Linked DNA regions of Ovis aries. The protein of the gene in region 5 binds, or shares a complex with, the protein of the main gene of each other region. Links are inferred from orthologs where the notes say so. Each region holds a gene or a part of one and is shown on either strand. Other genes may lie near its edges. The genes, in order: MED7, MED26, MED8, MED13L, MED20, MED31 and MED12.

Region 1 (4,143 bases), on a different chromosome or scaffold from region 5:
TGTGACACAAGGAGCTCAACCTAGCGACAACCTACAGGGGTGGGATGGGGTAGGAGATGGGAGGGGAGTTCAGGAGGGAGGGGATTTATGTATACCTGTGGCTGATTCATGATATATTCATGATTCATGATTCTGATATATGGCAGAAGTCAACACAATACTGTAAAGCAATTATCTTCCAATTAAAAAAAGAAAAAAAAGGCAAAAAATCCCCACATATATGTAAAATAGCTAATGAGAAGTTGCTGTATAACATGGGGAGCTCAAATCTGGTACTCTGTGACAACCTACAAGTGTGAAATGGAGTGGGGGTCGGGGGGAAGGTTCAAGGGAAAGTTGACATATGTATACTTATGGCTGATTCACAGTTGCCAATTAAGCGATTATCCTTCAATTAAAAATAAATTCTAAAAAAGGATCCTATCCATATAAGACTATCAAGATTTCAAATACTCCATCACTTAACAAACAACACTTTCTATGTGGCAGGTGCTGGATTCCAGCACAGATCACACTCTACCTTTCAGCTTCTTCAGAGTGGTCATGCCAATTTTACAAGCAAGCTCTTAGCTAATCTGGCCCTGCAGGGAAGTCTTCTGCAGTGGAAAACATCCGTTGCCCTGAGGTCCCACTAAACACCATCACAGCCACCATAACACTCTAAGGTGGCAAGCCAGTATCACCAAGAGAATATGGGGAATTCTCATACACAACTGATAGGAAACAAATATGCTTACTTGGAATTAATGTGACAGTATCAAACACTGTAATGCTGATTTCTTTGACCCAACAATCCTTTTTATTATTTTATATTGAAGTATAGCTGATTAACAACACTGTTGCTGTTGTTCAGTTGCTAAGTTGTGTCCAGCTCTTTGCGACCCCATGAACTGCAGCACCTCAGGCCTCCCTGTCCCTATCTCCCAGAGTTTGCTCAAATTCATTTCCACTGAATCAGTGATGCTATCTAATCATCTCATCTTCTGCCTCCCCCTTCTCCTCTTGCCCTCAATCTTTCCCAACATCAAGGTCTTTTCCAATAAGTCAGCTCTTTGCATCAGGTAGCCAAAGTATTGGAGCTTCAGCATCAGTCCTTCCAATGAGTATTTATTGTTGATTTCCTTTAGGACTGACTGGTGACCCAACAATTCTATTTCTAGAAATTTATCCTACAAAAATATTGGTAGAAGTACACAAATCTGTGTATCAGGATATTTAATGCAGCACTGTTTGAAAAGAGCAGGAAAAGCTGGAAATAACCCATACCTTCATCCATACCTTCACCCATATGAGGCCTTGGATAAAATGTCTATATATACACAATATGGCCACTAAGAAAAAAAGGGGTGAAAGTACATGGAATGGAGGGTTATAAATACTGTGTACTGGTTCATTTATTTACAACACACTTATGATAGTTGCAAATAGTTATAACCAATGTTTTAAAACTTTCAAAAATTCAGACTTTTCAGTCTATGAATAATATTCCATATTCTTCAGATTCTTCAAATGTTAACATTTTCCCTCATCTGCCTTATTGGTCTCTCATCTCTTTATCTAAAATACTTCAGTGGGTAGACCCAAATAAGAATGTCCTCTTAGAACCACATAATTAACAAAATCAGAGAATTAGCAATCATCTGGTACTTCAAAATAAATTTCATACAGCCTAGGTTTCACCCCTTCAAGCCTTTTCAGATTGGAATTCCTGTTTTGTGCTTCCCAGAACCTTGTGTAATCCTCTACTTAAACTGCCAATCCCCAAAGGGCAACTAAATGACAGGTATCATTGTTTTATATTCTCTTTTACTTAAGCTTCAAACTAATTCTATGAGTTACTACTACTATCAATTTCATTTTAGAGATGAGGGTCCCAAGTCTGTCTCACCAAGAAGTATCTGTAACCAGATCAAACGGCCAGGAAATGGCATAGCAGGAACTCTCAACCTTGCCTGTTATGGTTGCACAGCACAAGCTCCTTTAAATCAGTAAACAATGAAGCATCTTAGAGTACAAATGGAAACTGACATACAACAGAAATCATGTTTGTTTATACCACTTCTCCAGACTAAACTTGTCAAAGGCAATGGAGGTTTTTCCTAAGACATGCGTCAAGCATCAAAGCTGATTATCAGACTCAAGATCATCTTCTAGTGTTTGTTCCGTTCTGACGGATTTAACCCAAAAAAGAAAGGTATTGTAGGGTCTTATCTCCAGACGTTCGACTCGTTTATCTACTGTAAACGGAGCTGCTGGAATGTAGCTTTAAAACCTCCCCAGAAGATCTAATGAATGACGCCTGGGACCTACCTCCTTCCCCGTCTCCCATTAAATCTTTTGATTTCAGGAATGCTCCCTGAGGAAGAAGGGCGAGACTGGTTAGGGACAAGGCCAGAGAGAGGCCAGAAGACGTGGCGAGGCCACACAGCTCGGTAAACCAGCGGAGCGGGTCTAGAACTCAGGTGTGCCAACCTCCGGCCGGGCTCGGCCTCCCCCCGGAGGCGGCCTAGAGCCCGCCGCGCAGAGGGTACCTTCCCACGAGAGGCCAACTACCCCCACCCACCCCTGACCCCGGCTTCGCGAGCTGCGGGGAAGGTCGCGCTCTCTGAGGAACGCCGGAGAGGAAGGCGGACGAACGTACTCAGCACCAGGCCTCCCCGGACTCCCAGCCCTCCCAAAGGAAGCAGCGGGGTCCGGAAAAAGAAATGTACGAGGAACTGAGGCCCAAGCCGTCGCCGCCCACTTACTTCAGCTCTGGGCTTACACTAGCAGCCGCCTTCTCCACCTCAAGCCGAAATCCAACTTCCGGCCTCCACTTCCAGGAAGAAGCCACTGATACTGTCCTTTGATTGGCTGGAAAGAGCTGTCCTTTAACCGAGGCTCTAGTCCCGCCTCTGTGACGGTTGGCTCACCGTTTCGCGGGCGCATACTCCCTCTCCCCAGCCACCCCTTTCCTCCTACCTTCCCTCTGGCACCTCCCACCCTTCCGTGATTCTGCAGCAGCCACAGGGTTTGGGGTCGCGAAGAATGTGTTACTATTAAAAGTAGCTATTCTTTGCTTTCTTTTTCTATTTTCCTGAATATTCGCTGGAAGGACCAATGCTGAAGCTGGAGCTCCAATACTTTTTCCACCTGATGTGAAGAACTGACTCATTGGAAAAGAGCCTGATACTGGGAAAGATTGAAGGCAGGAGAAGAGGGTAACAGAGGAGGAGATGGTTGCATGACATCACCGACTCAAAGGACATGAGTTTGAGCAAGCTCCTGGAGTTGGTGAAGGACAGGAAGGTCTGGCGTGTTGCAGTCCATGGGGTCGCAAAGAGTCAGACACGACAGCTATTTAATATTGTGAAAATCAAGTCAGTATTTGGATACCAATTATCTGAGGATCCAGTAAAGTCCACCCCTTTGTGACTGTCTGTATCAGTCTGATACTGGATGTATCTATTAATCATCTTTTAATCTGTAGTTTCTTTCCTCTACCTCATTCTCCCCCACCCACAATCAATTTATTTGTTGAAGAAGTTTGTTCACTTTTGAGCATACCCCAGTCAGGCTTTTCTCCATTGAGACCAATGTTACATAAATTGTGACCTCCAGTGGGCATTCTTTAGTCCTCATCTTGGTCTACTTTCAGCAGCATTTGGCACACTTGATCATTTGAATTGCCCCCGGACTGAGTTCTCCTCTTAATGTCATCCAGGTGATAATACTCAAGTGGTATCTAGATCCTGGCAACACCCTGTCCCTTGCACTCAGACCCTCTTAACCAACAGTATTACACATCTTTATTCGACTGCAAAGTCTCCAACATAACAGTTCATCTTCACTCCTCTTTCTCCCATACTCTATTCAAAATTAAGGTATCAGTCTTTTGTATTAGTTCTATGTGGAAATAAGTAAAAGTTCAAAATATTAATTTTCACCATCCGCACTGCCTCCATCCTCATCCATGCCACCATAATCTTCCCCTGACTTCTGAAATAACCCCCTAAATGTCAATAGTTTCCTTGCTTCCACTTTTGTCCTTCCTTAGCCTATTTAAGAGTTGGACATGACTTAGCGACTGAACTGCAACAACAACAAAGCCTATTTTATCATACTGTCTTAAAATATGACTGATCTGGCCACTCTTAAAGTTCT
Region 2 (4,055 bases), on a different chromosome or scaffold from region 5:
CTCCAGAAGCTAGAATTTAGAGCAAAGAACTTTCCTCTTAAGAACTCTCTTTGTCAGGGAGATGATCAGAAAATGTTACTTTGTTACTTCCCTAACTTTTTAGATACTTGTGGATATTAAGTCAGCTCCCTGACATTGACTTTTCAAGCAAAAGTTAAGTTTGTTGTCATAACTGCATGCCCATAAAGGTAAGCATTAATGACACAATTCTCAGTCGCTTGTCTCAAAAGAGGTTTAATTTTAGTGTTGGCTCTTCAACGCTGTCCCCATTTTTATTTTCCAGGAGCATCTTAAATATGTGTCAACTAACTATGCAGAAGTGGAGTTTCTACTTGGGTAAGGCAGAGAAGAGCAGCTGTGTGCTGGCAATGCCTTGATGAAGCCACCTAGCTCTCACCTGGGCCCAGTTCAATCAAGAGAAACTGCAGAAATATGGTCACACCATCTCTACCGGCAACCTATTCCTCCACAGCTCTGAGTTTCTCCGCGGAGTTTGCTCCAAGCCACACTCCTGTCAAATGGCTTGTAACAACACCCAGGAACATCACTGACAACAGCAGCATTTAAAGGAGGCACTTTCTCATCACTCATATTCAGAGACAGTACCCCGATTTTATCCACTACACTTACATCAGTAAGACTCTGAGTCGTCCCAGAGAAGCCACGTGAAATGTGCACTCCATGATACGGAACACATCCATGGGCTTGGACCCTCTTCCTCCTGTTCTCCTAGGAACCCTTTAGAGTCTTACAAAACACTGGAACCCCTGAGGTCACCGCCCCACCTAATCTACAACATGGTGACTGCCTGTTAAAGCGCCTCCTGATCCCAAAGCTCTCCTAGGTGGTATTAGGATCAGTGCTAATATCTCAGCAACCATTCAGAATCTCTGCAAGGCAAACAAGCACATGGAATTCGAGAAATTACACTCTGAGGTGAAAGTCATCAAGGCTACATTTTTCATTTCACTTGTTTTATCCTCTACTTTTTCAGTCTTGGGAATTGCTGCAGCACCAGTTACTGCAAAAATTCTGCAAGGTTTTATATAGCTTGTGCCTACTCCACCCCCAAAGTCATAACAAAAATGTATACAACATTTGTTAAAGACAAGTACCACCAAGTCTATCTTCATGGGGCCTGAAGACCAGGAATTACTTATGATACAGAAATCAGTCTTATAAAGATCACAACTCCTCTCTTTCTACCAAATTTGTACAATCCAACCATGAATTATTCCCACAGTGCTGGCTAAAACCTACTGCTAAAAGTAATCAGCAAAACTCATGTAAAGGAAAAGCAAAAGTCCCCACAGTGACAGAAACCTAAGTTACCTGGCCAAGCCGAAGATGGTTTATTTCTTCCATCCCCAGCACATTAAAGTGGTTTCAATGGCCACTTCCTGGTCTCCCAGGAAATGCAGGGGCTCACTTCATACCTGGATGCTACAACATCTTGCCATTGCTGAACCTGCTCTGGCCACAAGGGAAAATAACCCCTATCACGGACAACCACTCAGAGAAAATATGAGAATTAGATAAATCCTTCCCAACACACACGGTGAAGGGCAGGGGAGATCCCTCCACAAACAGCAGCCTCAGTGGAGCAGCACCTGAGAAATCGACACCCTGGGGTTAACCCTGACTGTCTAGGTCACAAACCAACAGGCTAGGGCCCCACGTAGGGGGCACACGAAGAAGGGCTCTGGGTGGAATGGGAGAGCACATAATCACCTCTAATTCACTACCCAAAAGCGGGGCTCTGCCTTGGTCTGATACGCAAGGAATACTTAGGCCCAGAAAGGTAATAGGAAGAATCCCACTCTCTACAAGATCATCTTCCGTTGGCAGCGACCCCAAGAGAGACCCAGCGAAGCAAGTCCACTCTCAGAACCGAAAGGGACTCTCCACGAGCCTTGGGCACCCGGCTAGGTGTAAAGGAGGCCAGGGGGGCTCCCTTCGAAGCCAGAAAGGTTCTTCCAGCCGGGAGGCAAGGTAAATAAGACTTCCCTCCTCATCGATAAGGCCGAGACACCGGCGGCACGGGCTCCCCGAGTCCTACCCCGGACACCAGTTGCTCACAGCCTTTCCCCCTCCCCTCCCCCCCCGCCGGGAGGGCTTCCCGGGGGTCGCGGGTACTATGGTAAGGGCGAGGTGGGCAAGCACAGTCAGGAACAGCAAGGGTCGTAGAATTAGGGTGGATGAGGGGGAAAAACTCTAGTCTCAGCTCCCATCTGCTCCCTTCGCCCAGGCCGCATTAAAGCCTCGGCCTCACGTACCGAGCGCTGCCGGGCTGCCCGACCAGCCCCCGGCCCGGGCCCGGGGGAAGAGAGACAGGGATGGCAGCGGCCCTCAGGGGCAGCTGGGTGTCCGGGGGATCCTTCGGAGCCCGGCGGACTAGGAGCACTAGGGAGGGGGAGGGTCCTGGGCCCACGCGGCCTCCACTTTAACCCGTGTGAGGAGTACTTACGTTGCTCTGGGGGTCGATGGCCTGCAGCAGCCGGTCCCTGATCTGCTGCGGAGACGGCGGAGCCGCTGTCATTGCCTGGGCGAGGCGGGGGGGGAGCGGCCGGGCCAGCGGGCGGGCGGGCTGAGGCGGGGAACCGGGGTCACTCACTCGCCGGCCTCCGGGAGCGGAGCCTCATGTTCCCCGCGGCGCCGGGGAAAGAGGGGGCGCGCGGGGTGACGGAGAGGTGAGCCGGGGCCGGGGCTCAGGCCCGGGGCGCCGCCACCACCAGAGGAGGAGGAGGAGCCGCCGGAGCCGTCGCCGCTGCTGCCGCCGCCTCGAGAACCAAACTCCAGTGAGCTACCCCCGCGCGAAGCACTCTGGGTAACCCGCGCCGCACGCAGCGTCGGCGCCACGCTGAGGAGGTTGGGAGATAGGGCGGGCAGAGACGCTGAGTCTGGGCGGGGCCACCTGCAGGCCACGCCCCTAGACTCCACGCATGCGCGCGCAGGCGCAGTCGCCCCCACCTCTGTTCCGCCCCACCGCTTGGCCCAGGGAGCCGTTGGGAGGCGGTTGGGCGGGGCAACGGCCGCCGCCTGGAGGCCCCGCCCCCACCCAAGCCTGGAGGTTGAGGGGGTGGCGGCAGGAGGTTTCCGACGGAAACGCTAGGTGAGCGCCGAGTCCTTGAACCCTGGCGCTCTGGGCGGACAGGGCAGATGAAGGACCTCACTCCTAGGGTAGAAAAGCTTTTCCCATTCTGACGAAGATGACGGGAATCGCGGGCGGGAGAAGCTGCCAAGTTTCCTGCGCCCCGGGGTCCTTCCCAGCTCCTCTGCGTTCGGGGAGGCCAGGAGGCAGACGTCCACGTTGTAATTCTGTGCGCGGAAGGGTCAACTGAGGAGCGCTGTGGGACGCTCCAGAGGGGGCGGTGCGAGTCGGGGGTCTGCAGCGCCTCGGGCTACGATCCCCAAAACATGAGACAGCAAAGTGTCTCACGGAGGAGCCGCTACCGCAGCTAGGAAAGCCCCGAGGCCGCATGAGTTGACACCAACGTTGCAAACCTGTGTCCACTCCGGCGTTTCTCAGCCTGGGCACCAGTAACATTTGGGGCTGGATCACTCTGTTGTAGGGCCTGTCCTGTGCGTTGCAAGATGTTCGGCAGCATCCCTGGTCTCTGCCAGTAACACCCTTTTCCTGCAGGGGACCAAAAATGTCCCCAGTCACTGCCAGAGGTCACCTGGCTGGTAGAATCGACCCCTGTTGAGAATCACTGGTTTAAAAGACCTTCCCACCCTGCTTTGCATGGTGGTGCTGGAAAACTGAAACACCCTTACCAAGGAGGAAACTGAGGCCCTAGGTCACCCAGAGTTACCGATCAAACCCAGAACTGTTAAATGTCAAGTCTAAGGGCTTCTCCTGGCCCCTCGCCTCCTCATTGCCTTCTTTCATTGCCGGCTCTCCGTGGAAGCTCTTATTACATATACGGTTATGCAAACGGGTAAGAAAGGCAGGTGAGTGAGTGGATCATTAGCCGCAGCCTCGAGAGAAATAACTTTTCTTCTTGTTACAGGAAGACCTACATTTAAAACAGGAGAGAGGCAGCTGATGAGAA
Region 3 (3,966 bases), on a different chromosome or scaffold from region 5:
ATTGAAATAGGACAGAAGGACAAAAAGCAAGGCCTCCAAAATGTAGCCCCCACTTATTGCCACACACTACTGCATATTCAAAATTTCTAGATAGAAACCAACCACTGTGCTGTCAGTCCTCATTTAAGGGCTTTGTTTCCTAAGCTGCATCCCTCTCCTCCTCTTACCATGAGATCTTCATCTCGGTCTGGGGACAACACCAGAGGGATGATGACCTGGTTGCGGAACAGTGGTGTCTTTTCATGCTTCAAGACCTTGTTCAGAGTGTTCAGCTGTCCAGAAAGCAAGGCAAAGCTGTCCAGGACAGATGGCCTGGTGGTGGTAAGAAGATGTCAGCATGTTCCTGGTAAAGGAGCCTCAAAGGGGTCCCTCGGACTAGGAATAACCAGACTCACCCCCAAAACACTCATAGCCCTATGCTGGCCTGGGCAGGAACTAGACTGGCTCGCAGGGATTATGGGGTTAAGAAAGAGGGATACACTTTGAGTTTCTGACACAGATGGAGAAAAAAAACAGGTCATTATAGCAATCCCCACTTATCCTAAGTTTCACTTTCTGAGGTTTCGTCTACCCGTGTCAACCACAGTCCAAAAATATTAAATGATAAATCCAGGAAATAAACAATCCATGTTTTTAAATTGGGAGGTGTTCTGAGGAGTGTGATGAAATCTTGCTTCATCCCACTCTGTCCTACCCAGGATGTTGATCACCCCTTTGTCCAGCATATCCATACCGTATACGGTACCCACACAAGTAGTATAGAAAAAAAAAAACAACAACCCACAGTATATACAGAATAGGATTCAGTACTATCATAGTTTCGGGAATCCACAGTGGGTCTTAGAACTTACCCCTGATAGATCACGAGGAGCTACTACATTTGAATGGGGTGAGGACAATGGCAAAATAGGAACGATGGCTACACTATTATCACTAGAACTTCAGAAACCGGGTGAAAGATCCCTTTCCAGATCCAAACTTTCCTAGATTGGACCTAAAAGACTTGGCAAAACCCGTGCAAGAAATCCAGTATGAATACTGTGGTGGGAGGACCCACTGCAGGAGGACCTCATCCTGGAGAAGTCAAACAGGGAGAATCAAAAGCTAGAAAGAACCTGGGTTGAGAAATTGGGCATTTCTCTACTACCCTTAAAGTTGAGGTCCAAGGCCAACTTCAGTGTTAAATGTTGGGAAAGCCAGCTCTTTCTAAATCAAAAGATGTTCACAAAGTGATAAATGCTGGAGGAGGTACCCTGTGCAGCAGGTGGCCTAGCCCCCACCCATAGAGCCCTCCCCAGCTTGCCCTGGCAACTCTTACCAGGTCAGCCGGTCATACTCGTTCTCCAGCTTGTAAATGAAACTCCCCAGTGAGTTCTTCAGATCAGCCACTTGACTCAGCAGTGCATCTAATGATGCCTCAAGCTGTTTTTCCTCCCTCTGAGCCAATAGGAATAGGTTGGTTACTCAGCTGAGTGTAAGGATGACACATATAGAGGAAGGCTGAAAAGCCAGGGTGACAGTGTGCAACACCAGGACAGTGACACAGAATCTCATTGGCACAGGGACAGTCAGGCTGTTTCTGTCTCCTGTCAGCCGGGCTCCACCCCTATTTGGAGTTAGGATCACAGACAGCATCAACCCTTAGACCTTAAAACCCATTCATCTGACCTCAATTCCTCTTACCTACTGATTCCTTCCTCTCATCGCTTTTAATCCGGGCGTGACTGTTTCTCTATATTAGGCTTGGTTTGTATCTGTTCTCCCTCACTGGACAATTTTCACCAGACGTAATGCCTGGGATTTATTCTGTTCGGCACACCTCAGCAGCAGACGTACTCTGACGTCCTATGTTCTAGAACCTGCCTTGTGAACCTGGCTGTTCTTGGCAATGACATAATCTCTGAAAACCTACCTATACAGGAAGGCTCCTCTGAATACTGCCACCGTCACCTTCCTCTTCCCTCAGCATTTGCTGTTTCAACCTCCTCCTTGCTAAATCAATCTGCACTCACTTTATTGCTGTGCCAATATTCCTGTGCCCCTTTCGCAAGCTTAGTCAACCTATAAAAATGTACTGACAACTACCCTTCTGCAACAAACAGTGACAAATGAAAAACAAAACAAAACAGCAACCAAACCGCACATGCCCCTAAGCACTAGGCAAACTATATTAAAAGCTGAGGGGTCTCCAGTTTTATCTCATTTCACCCTTTAACTACTAGGGGTACACACTAGGAAGAATGAAACAGAACTGCAAAACCCCGAATGTGGAGGACACGAGCCGGGTTCCACCCACGGCCTCAGATTATTTAGTCTGGCTTCTGGCCACCACGGTCCCACAATTCCTTCCACCCTCGGGCTTCTCTCCAGTTAGATCCTCTGTTCTGTCAACATCCAACGTCTAGGCCGGGGCCTGAGCCCGAGCCCAATCCACCTCTTTCTTCAGCCGTCTTCCTTGGACTGCACCTTCCCAAATTTCAACTTGATCCTTTTCCACACCCTATCAACAACTTGATCCTTTTTCCACACCCTAGCAAGACAGTGCTGCCTTCTCCGTCCCAACCTAACCGCAGTTTCTGTCTCCTGTCAGCCGGGCTCCACCCCTATCCCTCTCCAGAGGTCCTCGTCCCCATCGCGCGTCCCTTTATCTCACAGTCGCGGTCTCGACCAAGTCCTCTCATCCCTAACTCCTCACTCTCTCCTCGGCCAGCCCACTTTCTGTCTCGTTACCCCAAGCTAGCTACCCGTCGCTAGCGCCAAACCGGTCCTCACCTGCATTGCTGCGGCGGGGGGCGGTGTCAATCACTTCCTCTTCCGGTTCCCAAGTAGGCCAATTAGAAAGCTCAGAACTCGACCCTCCCACTCACTTCCGGCCCCGCCAGTCGCGAGACCTCCGGGTCAGGGGTCAGGAGCGGAGCATCTTCTCTGGCCCGGGCCGGCGCGGGAGGGCTGTGTGATGGCCTCGGAGCGCCCGGAGCCGGAGGTGAGGGGCGGGCGGGCGCAGCGCTGGGCCTGTAGATCCGAGGGGGAGGGTCCGGCGGCCAGGCGCGGCCGTGGCCTCCTCCGGGTCTGGGGGCCGCCTGGCCCTCCTGAAGGCCCAATAGTAGCATCTCCTCACCCCTACTTTCCTCGGGGAGGCCTAGAGGAGGAATTCGTGGCTCAGTTTTGTTTGCCGAAATTTAATCCACGATTCTCTACTCTAGGGCTCTTGGGTTCTTTGACCTCGTAATGGCATTCAGAAAATCTGTATTTTGATCTTCTGTTGCAGTTTCAGTGGGCAGGTTTGCCGGTTGCTGCCTCATTCAAATATTATTGGAATGCCATAAACAGCATAAATTAATTAGGTTCTAGCGCTCATGCAATTGGAGAGCAGCTTAGATTTCATGAAAAAACGTTGGATTCAGAGTGAAACCTCGTTCTGGTATTGGCGCTGCCCTGTAGCTATCTGTGCAACTTTGGGCAAATCTTGACTTCCCGGATCCTGTTTCCTTCTTTGTAAAATATCTATCTTCAGGTCTATTGTGAGGATCACACGTTTTAAATGGGAAAATGCAAATGAAGCATCCATTAAGTACGAAGGACCATGCAAGGAACTTTTGTATACATTGTGTGGTTCAGACTTGTGCAAGGAAGGTGACAATACCCATTTCCATATACAGACAAACTAAAAATCGAGGGAAGTGAAGTACCTTACCCAAGTGCTACTCTCAGCTGGGGAGTGGCAGAGTTTTGTAATTAGAAGTCTAAAATGTCAGATTTGGAAAGAAAACATCACTAGGAGAGTTGCCCAATGTTACAGGAGAACATGTGAGTGGATGGGAAGGGTGAGAGGTGTATAATCATGTATTGAATCCTTACCTATCGAATGCTTACTGTGTCCCAGAGACCATCTTAGCGCTTTACCAATGTCAAAGATTACTCTCAACCCTACACAGTAGACACTTATCCCCATTTTTCAGTTGAGGA
Region 4 (4,112 bases), on a different chromosome or scaffold from region 5:
TACGCTAATATTATGTACTAAGAGTTTTTATAATACATGCTTTATTCTGAACAGGTGATGATTTTATCTCCTTTGGAATTAATTATTCTATACAATGTATTTTAGGCAACATATTTTTGATATTCCAGGTTGCTGCTGTATCTGATTTTCAAGAAAATGCTCAATTTGGAGCAAGAAAAATTTACAGTATCAGTAGCTCTTTAACGGATTTGCAGTTTTTTAATAACCGGCTATCCAACCTCCATCTATAAGAGAACACAGACATTACACAGTTCTTCAAAAAAGAAAAAAGCATTTCTGCATTTCAAAGTTGCTACCTAAAGAATAATTCTGTTTAAAAAAACTATACTCAAAAATGAATTCCTGGTTTAAGCACAAACCTTTAGAAAGTCAGAAAGCACAGAATCCTCTCCTACAAATTTTTTCTCCAAAACAATATTAAACATCTTTAGAAACATTATCATTCTTAAGCTTTTTAAAAAAATTAAAAAAGGATAAAAAAAGAAATGATATATACTGAAGACTGGCTACACATGTATTTTCACTCCTACATGAAAGGTACTGTATACAAAATAGCCACATATATACAAGCCATTATCAGTCAGCATGATATATGGTAATTTGGGGGAATCTCTCCTCACTAATACTGATCTACTTGGTTATTTTAATTTCCTGATAAAGTGTCAACTCGGTCACCAGTCACCAAACAAAAACCATTTAAATACCCCTTAGTCAATGTTTGCTACCCTATGGAAGTCCCTGAGAATCTGAGTGACACTAAATGAAAGACTGAGAGAAGAAAAGAGGAGGCAAGGGGAAGTTATCACAGGACTGAAAGGGAGAATCACAACTTGTAACTGAATTTTAAGATTAAATATCCGAATAAAAATGTTGGGAGGAAAAAAACTGACCTGCTATTACTACAGTAAAAGCATAGATACTATGTCACTCGGTCTCAGTAGGTAAAAATCGCTTGTCTTCATTTTTTAAAATCTGCATAATGAAATATATTTAATAAAGCTTCTATTTAAAAAGTTGGCAAGAATTTGTATTTCTCCACTAGTCTCAAAAGGAAAAAAAAAAGCATCTATGCTACCCTTAATTAAATGTAACTAATTACAATTTGAACACTAAATTATGTACCCAGTGTAAACAAAGATTAAGAGGAAATAAAGCTCTATGTACAGCAGAGGTTACGGAAAACAATTTCCAAAATGCATGTTCTCTAAAGGCAGTCCCCCAAAAAGGGTACACCACTTAAACAAAGTTGGGTTTTTTTAAAGTCTAAATTAAACAAACCGTTCAGCCAATTTTCCAATTATATTCCACGCTTGAAACATAATTGCCTTACATCTGTTTACAAATCTTTGCTCAATATTTAAACAAATTCGTAGTCTCCCGGGCACATAGCTATACATACAGTTACTCATGCACAAAGCACATATTTAAAGACCACGCACTGCAATTATTAGTCTAAACGCCAGGTTTAACAACGTGAATGTTTTCAGAGCTAGGTAATACGACCCAATAAAAAAAAGCAAAGATGGCATTTACCACCAAATGTCACTGCCACCGCCAGGAAAGAGTTTCTGGAACCCTATACATTTTTAATTTCGATGAATCTAGACGCCGTCGTCGGATGCCAGGCTTCCAGGAGAACAATTGACACCCTAACTGCTTCAAGATTAAGGCAGGCGATTCAAATCCGAAGGAAAAGTTGTCAATTATCAGAGAGAGAGCGCGAGAGAGGCGAAGACAGATAAAAGCGATGTTATCAAACCGCCCAGCTTGTTGCTTTGTGTGTGTGTGTGTGTGTGTGTGTGTGTGTGTGGATTCGTTGTGAGCAGAGAGAAAACAGTTTTTAAAAGACACAGGAGGAGAGAAAGAAAAAAAGCTTTCTCCACCTTCCGTCGGCTCGGTGCAATGGCTTTAAGGCTCTCCAGCGTAGTAAGCCCCGAGAGGCAGGCGGCTGTCGATGTTTACAATCGCCGGAGCTTCGGGTGCAAGAGTCCTTTACTGACACAATCGCATTCAATCAACTGTTTTCGGGCGAAATTGCAGGTGTCATTATGGAATTTTTTAAAAAATTCAAAAGGCGGGCGGGCGGGCGGGCAGCCGATCCGACACAAGGGGGAAAAAAAGCTGCTTATCGCAGGCGCGGGCAACACAAGGCAAAAGCCTTCCACATTTAAGGGGGGAAAAGAGGGGGAAAGGGAGGGGAAGGGGAGTGCGACTGCAACAGAGGGTGGGCGTTCGAAGTGCGACCCAGAATCCGCAGCTTTGAGACTTCCACATGCAAATTCCACGCCGAGCGCCGCGCTCACAAATGATTTTTAAAGAGCCAAATAAACACTGGATGGGATCCAAGGCGAAGGAGAGACGATCCAAAAGGGGGAGAATCGGCAAGAGGCGAACGGCGGGGAGAGGCGAGGGAGGGGCGAAGTCCCGGCGGCGGGAGGAGAAAGTTGGTCGGTGGCGGAGGTCGACCCCCCCCCACCCCACGGCACAGCCCCCTCCCCGCAGCCCGGCTACTCACCAGCGAGAAGAGGTTGGAGTGACAATCCTCCAGGCTCGCCCCGTTCGCCACCCAGTTCGCTGCCGCAGTCATGATCCTCCGCGAGCCCGGCCGCCAGAGCGGGGCATGTCGGAGCGAGGCGTCCGAGGCGAGGCCGGGCCGGGCGGCGGCGCCTCGCCGGGGAGCGTGGGGCGGCCCGGCCGCCGCCGCCGCCGGGGGAGGGCGCGAGGGCCGGCGGGCGGGCGAGAGGCGCCGCGGCGACGCCGCGCCGGGGGCGGCGGGCCCGGGCCGGCGGGGGGGTCCGCGGCGGCCGCGCGGCTCCTTCCTGCTCGGGCGGCGGCGGCGGCTGCTCCCGCGGCGGCGGCTGCTCCCGCGGCGGCGGGGGGCGCTGTCCGCGCGGCCCGGCGCCCTCCCCGCCTCTCAGGGCCGCCGCTGCCTCCCGGGCCGGCGCTGCGGGCCGACCGCCGCCTCCGCCTTCCCTGTTCCTCAGCCGCCGCCGCCGCCGCCTTGTTTATCTCCAGCCACCGACTCCCCCTCAGCCCCCGCCGGCGCGTGAGGGGAGGCGAGCCCTAGAGTCGCCGCCGCCGCTTCGGAGCCGCCGCCGCCGCGGAGCGCGAACTCGCGAAGGGGGGGGTGCGGACGAAGCCAGCGGGCGACCCCGGCAGCCGAGCGACGTCCCCTCCTTCCTCTTCCTCCCCCACCCCCCCCTCCTCCCCAGTCAGCCTCGCTTCTCCTCCCTCCCTGGGCTCGCTCGCTCTGACAGCAATGGCGGCCGCCGACCGCGGCTCGGCCCGCCATTGGCTGGCGCCTTGTCACGTGACGGGCGCCGGCCGCACGGGGGGGGACTGGAGGAGGCGGGGGAGGGGCCGGAGCGGCGGCCGCGACTGTTCGCTGGCGGCGCTGCTGAGCCGAGAGCGGCTGGATTCTCCGGCGGAGAGAGGGAGGGAGACGGAGACAGAGGGAGAGAAAGAAGTGCGGGCGGCGCGGCTCCGAGGCGGGCGGGCGGGCAGTCAGCCGCTGAGCCGGCCGCCCCGCGCCCCGCCCCCTCGGGTGCACGAATCTTTGCTGGGCGCGACCGCGAGCCACGGGAACGCCGGTGGCAGTGGTTGTGGAGGGCTTGGGGCTCCTTGCCTGTGCCCTCGATCGCCCCTGCCGGCTGGGTGGCAGAGGCCCGCCATGGGCCAGACAGCAGATCCAAGTGCTTCGGGGTGTCTCCTCGAGGTCTCACTCCGTGGTCCGCGTTTTGCAGATGAGAAAACTGAAGCACAAAGAGGTTAAGACACTTACCCGAGGTCGCTCACCTAGGAAGAGGAGGGGATGGGATTCGAACCCTTGTATTCAGGCACACAGCGAAGCGGAGCTCTTGCATCAAGATTTTAAAGCCTAGGCCAGGAAGTGCTTACTGTGTACCACGCACTATGCTCTGAATCCAGAAATGCCTTTTTAATCCCTTACTCGTAGGCGCTGTGCGCATGCATGCATGCGTTGCAGAAATGCTTTCTGACCTCTTGCTTTGTGCCAGGATATAAATATATGTATTTTTTAAACTACCAGACACTACTGGGCTGGATTTGGAGCAGACCTTCCCGCCTGGCTC
Region 5 (4,231 bases):
CCTTCTCCGTTTGTGAATGCTGCTCACAGACAAATGAAAGATGAGTGTTGAGAAATGGATTAAGCAACTTGGAGGTCAACACTCTCAGAGTAATAACGAGAAAAATGACCATCTTTTAAATAATCTCGCTCCCTTTCTAGTCCTGAAACAATATTGTTCTTTGTGCTCAGAGCACTCCCTACTTTTCAGTTCTCAGCACAACGGTCATGCAACCTGGGAAACCTGACTCCCAAGACTAATGCTATTGTCAGAGAAGCTATACTTTATCACGAGTGCATTATTCTAATTGCTTACTTAATTCTTTCTCTCGGGCTACACTGGAAGATCCTGACGTTAGGTATACCTTTACCCTGTTTACAGTTTTTTATCTAAACCATCTAAACTCCTAGCACGGCGGGATGTGCGTAGTAGACATTCCATGATTACTTACAAAACACGTAAATAAATGCCAGGAGAACTTAGCGGCGTGAGTAACCACTTCCTGCTGGCCTAACCTCGGTGATGCCTATAAGAGTGCCACTCTAAGGAATGGGCGTGGAGGGCTCCGGCAACCCTCAATCTGCCCCAGAGCTGGGTCTCCCAACCCCATTACCTTTGCCAAGGGCCTCAGTTTTTTGTTGTTGTTGTTTTTTAATTCCAAGTTATTCCCCTGCCAGACACCTTTCAGCCGTCCGCCCCAGCTACCCACCCTCCTCCTCGTACCCCATCCCCCCCACTCACCCAGCCGCGTGGTGCGCTCCCGCGGCACCGCGGGCCTGTCCCCGCTCCCATGCTCGGCCTCGAGCTCCTCTTGCTGCTGCCGCGCTTGCTGCAAAATCCGTCGGGTCAGCCGGGGCCCCACGTACTCTTCCTCCTCGTCTCCGGTTCCGCGACCCCGCCGTTTTTCTCGGGCTCCTGCCCGCACCGCGTCACCAGCCAGGATCTGCTCGGCCAGCGGCGCATGCTTCTCCTGACCCCCGGCCGAGCGGGCCGCCTTGAACTTGGGCATTTTTCTAGAAAACCAAGCCGTGAAGTTTCCCACGTGGGTATGGAGGAAAAAAAGGCCCCGAGTGCGCTTGCGCGGTAAACACCCAGCGCCCGAGAGCCCACCGGAGCTCACAGCGCCCCCTCGCGTCTGGAGGCCGGGTGTGCCAGAAGCCCCGTCCCACCCCCCCCCCCCCCCAAAAAGAGCTCACGGGTCCTGGAGCTGGGTCCTCCCGAATTTAACGTTGTCTTCTCTAAGTGGTTGTAGTCCGAGATACACTTTCCTAGTTTCATGGATCTGGGTCCAGGGTGCCCAGGCGAATGGGAATTCCCTGACCGGCGAACCAGGGGATCGGGGGCGGGGCGGAGTCGGGCAGTGACCTCACCGAAGGACCCAGACACGCCCTTCCTCGTGGGCGTGTCGACTGGACGCTGTGTTTTTACGTAAGTTCCGGAGCGCCTGCCTCCATTGGAGCTCGCTTTAGCGAGGTGGTTTCTCCTCTTGTGGGCTGCTGGAGCACAGCGCATTTCACTTGTTTGATCCTCCCATCTTCCTGGCACGACACCATGGGAGTGACTTGGTAGGACTTCAGAGGACTTTGTGGGGCGGGGTTTGGGGACTTGAAGGCCCCTGGAGCCTCGAATATACCCGGGAGGAGGATCCCGACCAGGGTCCACAGTCCCCCGGAAGATGAGCAAAATGTCCTCGGATTGTGTAAGTGAGGGGGCCACCGCGAGGGCTGCAGAATCTGCAGGCCCCTTTCCTCGGAGATTCGCCCCTTCTTCCTGGAAGGCGGCAGGAAAAAGGGTTTAAGAACCCGTTAATGATCGTGTACCTCCTTCCTTTTTTCTTGATACAATTTCTTGACCGTGAAGCCTGGGGTAGAACTTTAGGGTTGAAAGTAGTATGTCGGGACTCGGACCCGTCTGCAGGCAGGGCTTGGATGGGTAGGGGATAGGCAACAAGGAGATAGTATCTTTTTTAGGTTTTTGCCTGCCCCTCCTTACAGCCACTAAATGCAGTTAGATCAGCATGTGTCTGGTTCTAGTTTGGCCTTTGTAAGATCTTGAGTCTGGAGGGAAAAAAGGAGCTGTTGGGAATTAGGAGATAGGAATTACAGGCACATCACCTCTTCAGGGTCTGTTTCCTATTCTGTTTAATTACCTGGTTGGTTTAGTTTTTATGGACTTATTTTAACACGTTATAAGTCAGTGTGGCAGGGAAAGGTATGGGCTTAATTCTCTTCGAGTCATTTAGTTCCAAAATGCTAGATTTCAGAGCTTTAAAATATATATATCTTGAGCATCTCTCCCAGAGAGGGCTTAGAGGCCAGGTTATCTGAAGGCAATGGCTCTAGGCTTCTCATGTAAGAGCCTGTGGGAATTCCTGGTAGCCCAGGTCTTGCAGATTTGTCAGTGACTGCACATTTGCTTCCTGAAGCTGGCATCATGAGCCTCCTTCAAAGTCCTGTAGTGTAAGAAGGGTGCGAAGAATGGGAATGAAAAGTTTGCTAGGGTCTTTCATGACAGTCCAGTGGTTAACATTCCACGCTTCCACTGCAGGAGGCACCTTCTACTTCAAGGGGCATGGGTTCAATCCCTGATTGGGGAATTAGATCCTGTATGCCTTGTGGCGCAACCAAAAAAAAAAAAAAGCATGCTGCAAAGAGGCGTGAAACCCTGGAAGTACCTGTTCTCTCAGGGCAGAAGGCAAGCAGGGAAAGGGCTCTCTCTTGGGATGCTTCGCAACTTTTTCAGGCTTCTAGGACTTCTGACCCCAGTAGCATCACCTTAGGGATTCTCTTATATTTCAAAATGAGGCACATCATCATCATTACTTGTTAGTACTTTTTCTGATGGAGATTAGAGACAGTTTTAATAACAGTAGGACTCTATAGCTTCATTTAGCCGATTTTGGTTGATCATAAAGTAATGCAGTGTCCCCCAACATTCAGCCACATATGATTCTACTTAAGATTTTTAAATAGCCATGTAGCACTTGAAATATTATTTATTAATGTCTTCTTTTAATTCCCTTTCTTTTCCTTAAAAGTATTTATAGCTGTATTCCTGGGGAAGCATTCTGGTAGAGTTAAGAGCGTGGACGTGGAGCCAGCTTGCCTGGCTTTGACTCTCGGCCACACCACACCAAGCTGTGTGACCTTGTGCGAGTTATTCAACCCCTCTGTACTTTTCTTTCCTCACTGGTAACAAAGAGATAATTGTATATCTTATGGGGCTAATGTGAGGATTCAAAGAGTTAGTTCATCGAAAGGTCTTTGGGCACTACCTGTCACATAGCTGGTCCTTGGTGATTGTTACCTGCCACTCTGTAAAGGGGGAGCCAGTTTCCCTCACCATAGAAGGAAATCTTGGAAATGACTTTTTGTTTCGTTGTTTTGGTTAAATTCGTGTACATGCTGTTTCCTTTCACGTCTGAGGATTAGAAATTTGAGGCTTGCTTTCTCTTTGGTCCCAGGAGCCTTAAAACTTTCTGCCTTGATGGAAATGTTCTGTATTAGCACTGCTCTCAGCCACTTGTGGCTGTCAAGCCTTGAAATGTGGGTTTTGCAGCTGAGGAGTTGAGGTTTTAATTTTTAATTCGTTTAAATGTAAATAGTCGCATGTGGCTTGTGGCTACTGTGCTGGACAGCTTGCATGCAAAGTGTTAAAGAGAGTAATAATAATTGGAATAATAATTCCAAGTTGAGGTTTTCTTTTTGATGTAGTCAAAACTGAAAGAAACGCAGAAGAAATCCCTTTCTCATTGTATGACTCTGTGTTACTGAATGCTCAATCTATGTGCCACCTAAAATCTTCTCTTGAACGTTGGCATACTTGCCACACTCCGTCAACGGAGGTGCTCTAAACAGGAAGTTCAAAGCACTGGTATGCGTCCTGAGACCTGCTCTGGTTCTTAGTGGAGTTCTCAAGAGACTGTGGGCCTCTGTTTCCTTCTTTTTAAACTGAGAAGGTTCGGTTTGATGGTGTCTGTGCACATACTGGCCCTGATGAGCTACGATTCTGCAGGCAAGTGAATGACTCATTGATTTTGGTCCTTTTCCTTCCAGTGTGTCTCAGATGCCCGTGGCCGAGGGCAAGAGCGTCCAGCAGACTGTGGAGCTCCTCACCCGGAAATTGGAGATGCTTGGAGCAGAGAAGCAAGGAACATTTTGTGTGGACTGTGAGACCTATCACACAGCTGCCTCTACCCTGGGCAGCCAAGGTCAGTGAGAGATGGGCCTGTGGGATGGCTGGAACCTGGTTT
Region 6 (3,140 bases), on a different chromosome or scaffold from region 5:
GCTGTTGCTGCTCCGCCAGGGCTTGCTGAAGGCGCATCCGCTTCCGGGAATAGTGCTGCCAGTGCAGAATTTGCTGCTCATCAATAAATTTCGCACACTGAGCATTCACCAGCTCCTTGCGGAAGTGTTCGTACTGGAGCAGTTCTAACATGTGTAAACACTGAGGGTACCTGGGGTTAAGTTTATAAGTTAATGATTGACATAATAATACCACGCTCTAGTTAACTCACTTAAACATGCTTTTGCACTCTATCATTTCTGTAACATTAACTTGGTATACTTTGGTAATACTTTTTTTTTCCTGCATATACAGAAAAGCTAATCATCAAAAGTCAGCAAAATTTTCAAATGTGAGAAAATGTAAGCTTGGAAAGATTAAATAATTTACAGAAGACCACACAGTAACTGGTAAATAGCGTTACTGTCAACTGGTAACACAATAACTGGTCAACATCTGGGCGCAAATCACACTATTCTCTTCGGTGATTTCCAAGGTAAGGGATAGGAACACTTTATTTTCATAATTATGTGTTTAATACCTATTGGTTTTCCATAAACTATGATAAGACAGCTTTTAAAAGTGAGTCAACTTCAGAAAAAACTATGCAGATATTGTATTCCTGTTTCCCACAGGGATATAACAATTCTGAAATTATGTACATATACTCAGAGGTTGAGCACATACACTATAAACAGAAAGCCAAACCTCTGGCTCTCAGAAAAGTAGTTTCAGATAAGGAAGGGGGAAGGCTAGAATGAATCCTGTTATTAAGTTGGAACTGAAAACATCAGGATGAACTCATGGCTTTATACACGTGCGCACACACACAGATATAGAAATAGATACACACAGACCCATTTCTAGCTTTATGTGTTGAGAGAGCCTAGAATCAATGACACTCCAGGACCAATGAGCACACCGAGTACCCAGATCATGGATTTTAAATAGTATTATCCAGGGTTGGTTGGAGACGTGGCTGATGCTACGGCTAACACAGGGAAAGTAAAAGATGAGCCTGGACTATTACATAGTGGCAGAAAGAAAAATGCTCAAAAAATATAGGGATTTGTTGAAAGTACACAGGAGCCAGTTTGAAGGTGTTCCCATTGGCTGTATCCAGGATCACTAGTTCAAGAAGATACATAATTATAACCCATAAGATAAAGAATCCAGGAGTCCATACTGATGTAACTTTATAAAATGAATAAATAAATTAGGAACAAGGAAATATTCTGTCCTTACAACTGAATTTCAACTAACAAATGAATAAAGAATTATGGAATTAGAAAATCACAGAAAAAGCTTTCAAGCAAGTATTTTCCATAGATTGCCAAAGTTAGGTAAAAAACTGAAATATGAAACACTATATTTACCGTCTCAAAGCATTCCCTCACAAGATAGGCATTAAATACAAAGCGAAGAACAAGTAATTTGATACAGAGAAAACTAGCAGCCACCAGCTGAACCAGGTCATCAATCTGGAGTGGAGCCTGAGCTCTGCATTCAATGCTGCTGGTCTGAGGACAACAGCAGGCCCCAACACAATGTTTCCTTATTGAACATTTGCTTCCTATACTCCAGAGATACATAGTTGCTTGTAATTGTCAGCAGCTTTGGCCACCTCATGCGAAGAGTTGACTCAATGGAAAAGACTCTGATGCTGAGAGGGATTGGGGGCAGGAGGAGAAGGGGACAATAGACGATGAGACAGCTGGATGCCATCACTGACTTGATGGACGTGAGTCTGATTGAACTCCAGGAGTTGGTGATGGACAGAGAGGCCTGGCGTGCTGCGATTCATGGGGTCACAAAGAGTCGGACACGACTGAGCGACTGAACTGAACTGAAGCCTGGAAAGCCCTACTCACATCTACTCTAGCTATTTCCTTCTCATGAGGATGTTCTATCAACAAAGACCTAGGTTTGAAACCAGCTCTGCCCATTCTACAGCTGGGTGTCCTTGAACAGGGTACTTAACCTTTCTTAAGGATTAGTTTCTTCCTCCGTAAAATAAATTAATGTGATAACCAAGAGGACTGTCTTCAAGTAGCAAATGCTACTTCTCAATAACTGGAACTTAGACATACAGTGATCACTTATAAGACTTGGAGAAGACCATGCTCAAAATAAGGGACTATAAATATTTTAATAGGTGACAATTATAGCATCAACCAACAAGACGAAATAGAGATACAAAAGCAAAGTTTGCATTTAGATTTTTTTAAAAAACAAATGAGAAATAAATGGAGAACTCAACTAACAGCACTGATGAAAATGAGAACTGAAGGATTTTAGCTGACATAAGTGAAAGTGAAGTCGCTCAGTCGTGTCCAACTCTTTGCGATCCCATGGACTGTAGCCTACCAGGCTCCTCTGTCCATGGGATTTTCCAGGCCAGAGTACTAGAGTGGATTGCCATTTCCTTCTCCAGGGAATCTTCCCAACCCAGGCACTGAACCCAGGTCTCCCGCATTGTAGACAGATGCTTTACAGTCTGCTGCTACTGCTAAGTCACTTCAGTTGTGTCCGACTCTGTGCGACCCCGTAGATGGTAGCCCACCAGGCTCCCCCGTCCCTGGGATTCTCCAGGCAAGAACACTGGAGTGGGTTGCCATTTCCTTCTCCAATGCATGAAAGTGAAAAGTAAAAGTGAAGTCGCTCAGTCGTGTCCAACTCTTCCGACCCCATGGACTGCAGCCTACCACCAGGCTCCTCCGCCCATGGGATTTCCCAGGCAGGAGTACTAGAGTGGGGTGCCATTGCTTTACAGTCTGAGCCACCAGAAAATCAACATTGTGAATCCTTGAATGTAAGAGATAAATTACAGCTGCAGGTCGTTGCTATTAGTGAAATGGTGGAGGACATTGTCTAGAAGAGGTAGCTGCTGCTCTGCTCTAGCCAATGACTGACCTGGGAAAACAAAGACCTGGGGTTATCAGATCTTCCAAATTTTTAAAGAGAAGCTTAGAAATCTGAATCAAAATATGAAACTCTCCAATCTTTAAATTTTGACAACTACTAAACAAAAACCTTGTGTAGAAATGAAATGGGAGTTAATTTGCAGCCTCTCTTAAATTTAAATATCTGAATGGTTATTCTTCAAGAAGGCATAGATTGGTTCTGGATTAATTCAGGGTCA
Region 7 (3,500 bases), on a different chromosome or scaffold from region 5:
TAGGCTCTTCTATGGCAGCCCCCTTCCCTGACACATATTGTTGGAAGTGAGCATGAGAGAGGGTCTGGGAACCACTCACATTGTTAGGGGTCTGCTTGATCATGAGCTGTAGTTCCAACGAAGACTGGCGCATGGTCCACTGGTCCAAGTTCTGTGACAGAGACCCCATCAGCAATCTAGTCATCACTGTGTCATCCCAGACACTTAGTACTCTGATGCCAGCCCCTGATCTCTCACAACCTTGAATCACATATGCCTGGAGGTCTGAAAGGGCCCTCGACTTTCCCTCTTTAGGAAAAATCACACTTAAATAATCCAAAATGACTGAAAAAAAATCTATCCTATTTCAAAAGTGGTTTTGGAAAAATTTCACATCTTCCCCAGTTTCCTGCTCCAGAGCCTCACATTCCTCAGCATCAGGAAGTTCTGCTTAATGCTTAACTTAAATCTTTGATGTTGAAGTTGAAGCTCGCCACTCCTGTTTTCAAAGTCCTTTACAGACCCGAGGGCTAGTCTTAGTTAATCTCTCTGAGGCATTATCTTCTCTCAGCCGAAGAGGCCTCATTCCTTTAGGTTTCCCTCAACAGCTTTATTTTTCCACCCCCAGTCACATGAATGTCTGCAGCAGTGTGGCGAGGCAGGAAGGGTGCAGGCAGACCTGGGCTCCTATACTGACTCTAAACTTACCAGCTGCGTGAGTTACTGAACCTCGGGCAAGTTACTTAACCTCTTCAAGCCTCAGTTTCATTGATGCTAAAACAGGGATATTCATGCCTACTTCACAGGGTTGTAAAGACTAACTAAGGAAATCTACATGGAGTACTAAGCACAGTACCCAGCATGAAGCAGCCACTCAATAAGCAGTAGCTTTCCAACAGCATTACTACTCATCACTGAGCTACGATCGACATGCCAGACACATACGACCAAAATCTAGACCTCCCAGATGCTCTGTCTCCCACTGATAAGCCAAAGCCCTACTCCAGCCAGCTGTGTGCCCTCACCCAATGGTTCACTCTTGAGTCTAGACCATATTGGCTTGACTTCGAAACCCATGCTGGAGCTGTTTCTCTCACCACCTCTCACCATATCCTCATTCATCTTCCTACTTAATTCTCCCTCTCTTTTTCTCTCAAGGTTCCCATCATTTCACCCCAGGTTCAGGCCCTACCACTTCCTCCAAGACCCCCGTCACCTTGGCCTACCTGGAGAATACGCTTAATGCGTTGCCGCTGTGGGTTTTCCCCATCCTCGTTGTCCAGCAGCCGATGTGGGTAGCAGATAAGCTGCATGAGGCGCTGGGCCTGGGCACTGCTCAACACTGGGTCTTGCAGGTCATTGCTGTCTTCACACAGCGATTTAAGGCAACGTTCTCCTACCCATTCCTGAGGAAGCCAAGAATTAGGGGACTGGGCCAACCAGTGAGGGGGTTACGAATAAGGGGGATGGACAAGCGGTTGGTGAGGGACAAAATGTATGGCGGGGAGGTGGTGTGATCATGACAGGAAACAAGACTATATTATATAGCAGCATTGAAGAGGTCTGTGAGAGAAGGTGAGACTGACCTGCTGGCAGATGCTGCGTAGCACGTACTTGGCATAGACATCCAGACTGGCTGTCTCCACAGAGATGTTGCGGCCACCCTGCCTCCGACTGCCACTGCCACCTCCTCCCTCCTCCTCTGGAAGTTCTTCTGTTCCTCCTGTCACAGTGAAGCCCGAACCCTTCAGTTCCGCATCCCCTGCGGTTCACGGGCGGGAGATACGGAGTGCAAAGTGAGATCCCAATGCTGTGTGGAGACCTGCCCCAGAGCCACAGAAGCAGCACTCCCCAAATCCTGCCCTATGGGACAGAAATATACTTCCCTCCTTCCTATCCTCCAGAAAGGTCAGAGAGACCAGCTTTAGGAGAGAGAAAGACTGCCCTTTGTAGTTTAGCTGGCGCTCCACCCTATACACACTTTTGGCACCACTCTTCCTACCCCCATACCAAGTACAAACACAGCCTTGAGAACAGCAAACACAGCTCCATCCACGATGCGGTTCTGGGAGGCAGCCAGCAGGTGGCGGTCACAGGAGGAGCGGATTCCTACAGTAGGCTTGTCTGGTGGAGAGAGCTGAAGTCAGGGGAAGCCAAAGTAGAAACGGTGGGGGTAGGGTAGCCACACTATCCTTGGCAGGCTGGCTTGGATGGAGTCACTTACTTCCATCCGATTGGCAAGGATTGAGTTGAGGTGTCTTGAAAAGATGGAGGAGGATGCGGCAGGTAAGCCGGGCCCCTGGCTCAGAGTCCTGTTCACTGCAAGCTACAGAGAAGACACAGAGGCGGGGAAAGGATGAAGGTGGGCTATATGTGGGTTTGTGGGTGCTGAGGCACTAAAAAGGTGGCTGAGGTCAGGCAAAAGGAGATAACACATTGGAGGAGAGGTGAGGGAGCCAACTGTTCTATAGTGTAGAGGGGAGAACCTGGAAGGGTCAGGAACAGGAAAGACTGGGGATACAGGTGCAGGGTCAGAAAGAGGCCCCTCCCAGCCTGAGACACACAACAGAATTGGCTTCTGGTGCCACCAGGAGCCCCACAGTGAACAAGGAGAGTATAGCCATTGAGTGTGTATTGACATTGGGGGTCTAGACTTTCTACGGGTCACAAATTGGTAGTTTACCAGCATTAAGGAGTGAAGGGATGGCCGCACAGCGAATCAGATCCTCCAGGAGCAAACACTGCCGAGCGATGAGGATGGCAACAAAAGTGGCCAGGGAGTCGTGAAAAGACAGGTCACTGACCTGGAGGAAAAAAGCAGACACACACCAGGACTCAGTGTGGAAAGAGTTCTCCTACTCTGAGTGCTGGGCCTCCACTCTGCATAAAGCTGTCCCTCCGCTCTCACAGTCACTGGGAGCAGACTCCTGCCCTGGGGACTGCCCGGTGCGCCCCCACCCCCAGTCTCACATCTACATTGCAGAGGAGGTCGTTGAAACCACAAGTGCCATTGTTAGAGGAGCAGCACAAGGCCTTAAGCACTCCCAGCCACTCTGCACTCAGTGACTTGCAATAGCCGGTCAGCTCTGCACACAGGATGGCGATGTCATTCACCCTGGGGAAAAGTACAAATGCCCTCAGCAAAAAAACCTGTTCTGGCAAAACCTCAGACTCATTAACTTTTCATCTCCACCCCGGCTATAACCAAGGTTGTGGTACCTCCCGGGCAAGTCATCCCTCCCAACATCAGGCGGGAGCGTGGTGCCCATGCCTCACTCAGTACGCCCCATACCTATCCGAATCATGGTGCCCCACACAGACGTGCATAAGGGCATTGCAGACAAAGCTGTAGCGGTTAGCAGGGTTCTCACTAAGACTCTTGCCTAGCCCCGTGTAGGTGAAGGTGTGAGCAGCGGGGTTCTCTAAAGTGTCGTTCATGAACTCAGGTGCCCAGCGCATGTTGGACTCTGATGGCTCCACATTGCAGTAGATGGTGTTCTTCACCTTGGAGCAGAAGTCAC

The links.
Region 1: MED20 (region 5) and MED7 share a complex: the UniProt entries of both Homo sapiens proteins name them as parts of the mediator complex. The link is inferred for Ovis aries from reciprocal best matches to the Homo sapiens genes MED20 and MED7.
Region 2: MED20 (region 5) and MED26 share a complex: the UniProt entries of both Homo sapiens proteins name them as parts of the mediator complex. The link is inferred for Ovis aries from reciprocal best matches to the Homo sapiens genes MED20 and MED26.
Region 3: MED20 (region 5) and MED8 share a complex: the UniProt entries of both Homo sapiens proteins name them as parts of the mediator complex. The link is inferred for Ovis aries from reciprocal best matches to the Homo sapiens genes MED20 and MED8.
Region 4: MED20 (region 5) and MED13L share a complex: the UniProt entries of both Homo sapiens proteins name them as parts of the mediator complex. The link is inferred for Ovis aries from reciprocal best matches to the Homo sapiens genes MED20 and MED13L.
Region 6: MED20 (region 5) and MED31 share a complex: the UniProt entries of both Homo sapiens proteins name them as parts of the mediator complex. The link is inferred for Ovis aries from reciprocal best matches to the Homo sapiens genes MED20 and MED31.
Region 7: MED20 (region 5) and MED12 share a complex: the UniProt entries of both Homo sapiens proteins name them as parts of the mediator complex. The link is inferred for Ovis aries from reciprocal best matches to the Homo sapiens genes MED20 and MED12.

Annotation. Positions count from the first base shown.
Region 1 is NC_056058.1:66,400,747-66,404,889, forward strand, and holds the start of MED7 (mediator of RNA polymerase II transcription subunit 7), read right to left. Parts: upstream 2,801-4,143; 5' UTR 2,748-2,800; intron 2,357-2,747; 5' UTR 2,311-2,356; intron 1-2,310. UniProt on the Homo sapiens protein: Component of the Mediator complex, a coactivator involved in the regulated transcription of nearly all RNA polymerase II-dependent genes.
Region 2 is NC_056058.1:6,189,194-6,193,248, reverse strand, and holds the start of MED26 (mediator of RNA polymerase II transcription subunit 26), read right to left. Parts: upstream 2,801-4,055; 5' UTR 2,540-2,800; coding exon 2,468-2,539; exon of another isoform or gene 1-2,467. UniProt on the Homo sapiens protein: Component of the Mediator complex, a coactivator involved in the regulated transcription of nearly all RNA polymerase II-dependent genes.
Region 3 is NC_056054.1:18,067,155-18,071,120, forward strand, and holds the start of MED8 (mediator of RNA polymerase II transcription subunit 8), read right to left. Parts: upstream 2,801-3,966; 5' UTR 2,779-2,800; coding exon 2,773-2,778; exon of another isoform or gene 1,684-2,772; intron 1,438-1,683; coding exon 1,319-1,437; intron 313-1,318; coding exon 168-312; intron 1-167. Other genes in the region: KICSTOR complex protein SZT2, read left to right, coding at 2,957-2,983. UniProt on the Homo sapiens protein: Component of the Mediator complex, a coactivator involved in the regulated transcription of nearly all RNA polymerase II-dependent genes.
Region 4 is NC_056070.1:58,647,681-58,651,792, reverse strand, and holds the start of MED13L (mediator of RNA polymerase II transcription subunit 13-like), read right to left. Parts: upstream 2,801-4,112; 5' UTR 2,609-2,800; coding exon 2,537-2,608; intron 1,954-2,536; exon of another isoform or gene 1,555-1,953; intron 1-1,554. UniProt on the Homo sapiens protein: Component of the Mediator complex, a coactivator involved in the regulated transcription of nearly all RNA polymerase II-dependent genes.
Region 5 is NC_056073.1:15,719,589-15,723,819, reverse strand, and holds the start of MED20 (mediator of RNA polymerase II transcription subunit 20), read left to right. Parts: upstream 1-1,431; 5' UTR 1,432-1,530; coding exon 1,531-1,544; intron 1,545-4,034; coding exon 4,035-4,189; intron 4,190-4,231. Other genes in the region: BYSL (bystin), read right to left, coding at 721-988. UniProt on the Homo sapiens protein: Component of the Mediator complex, a coactivator involved in the regulated transcription of nearly all RNA polymerase II-dependent genes.
Region 6 is NC_056064.1:25,119,335-25,122,474, reverse strand, and holds part of MED31 (mediator of RNA polymerase II transcription subunit 31), read right to left. Parts: intron 171-3,140; coding exon 1-170. UniProt on the Homo sapiens protein: Component of the Mediator complex, a coactivator involved in the regulated transcription of nearly all RNA polymerase II-dependent genes.
Region 7 is NC_056080.1:63,840,805-63,844,304, reverse strand, and holds part of MED12 (mediator of RNA polymerase II transcription subunit 12), read right to left. Parts: intron 3,500-3,500; coding exon 3,272-3,499; intron 3,095-3,271; coding exon 2,950-3,094; intron 2,784-2,949; coding exon 2,663-2,783; intron 2,306-2,662; coding exon 2,204-2,305; intron 2,104-2,203; coding exon 1,990-2,103; intron 1,742-1,989; coding exon 1,566-1,741; intron 1,386-1,565; coding exon 1,206-1,385; intron 152-1,205; coding exon 80-151; intron 1-79. UniProt on the Homo sapiens protein: Component of the Mediator complex, a coactivator involved in the regulated transcription of nearly all RNA polymerase II-dependent genes.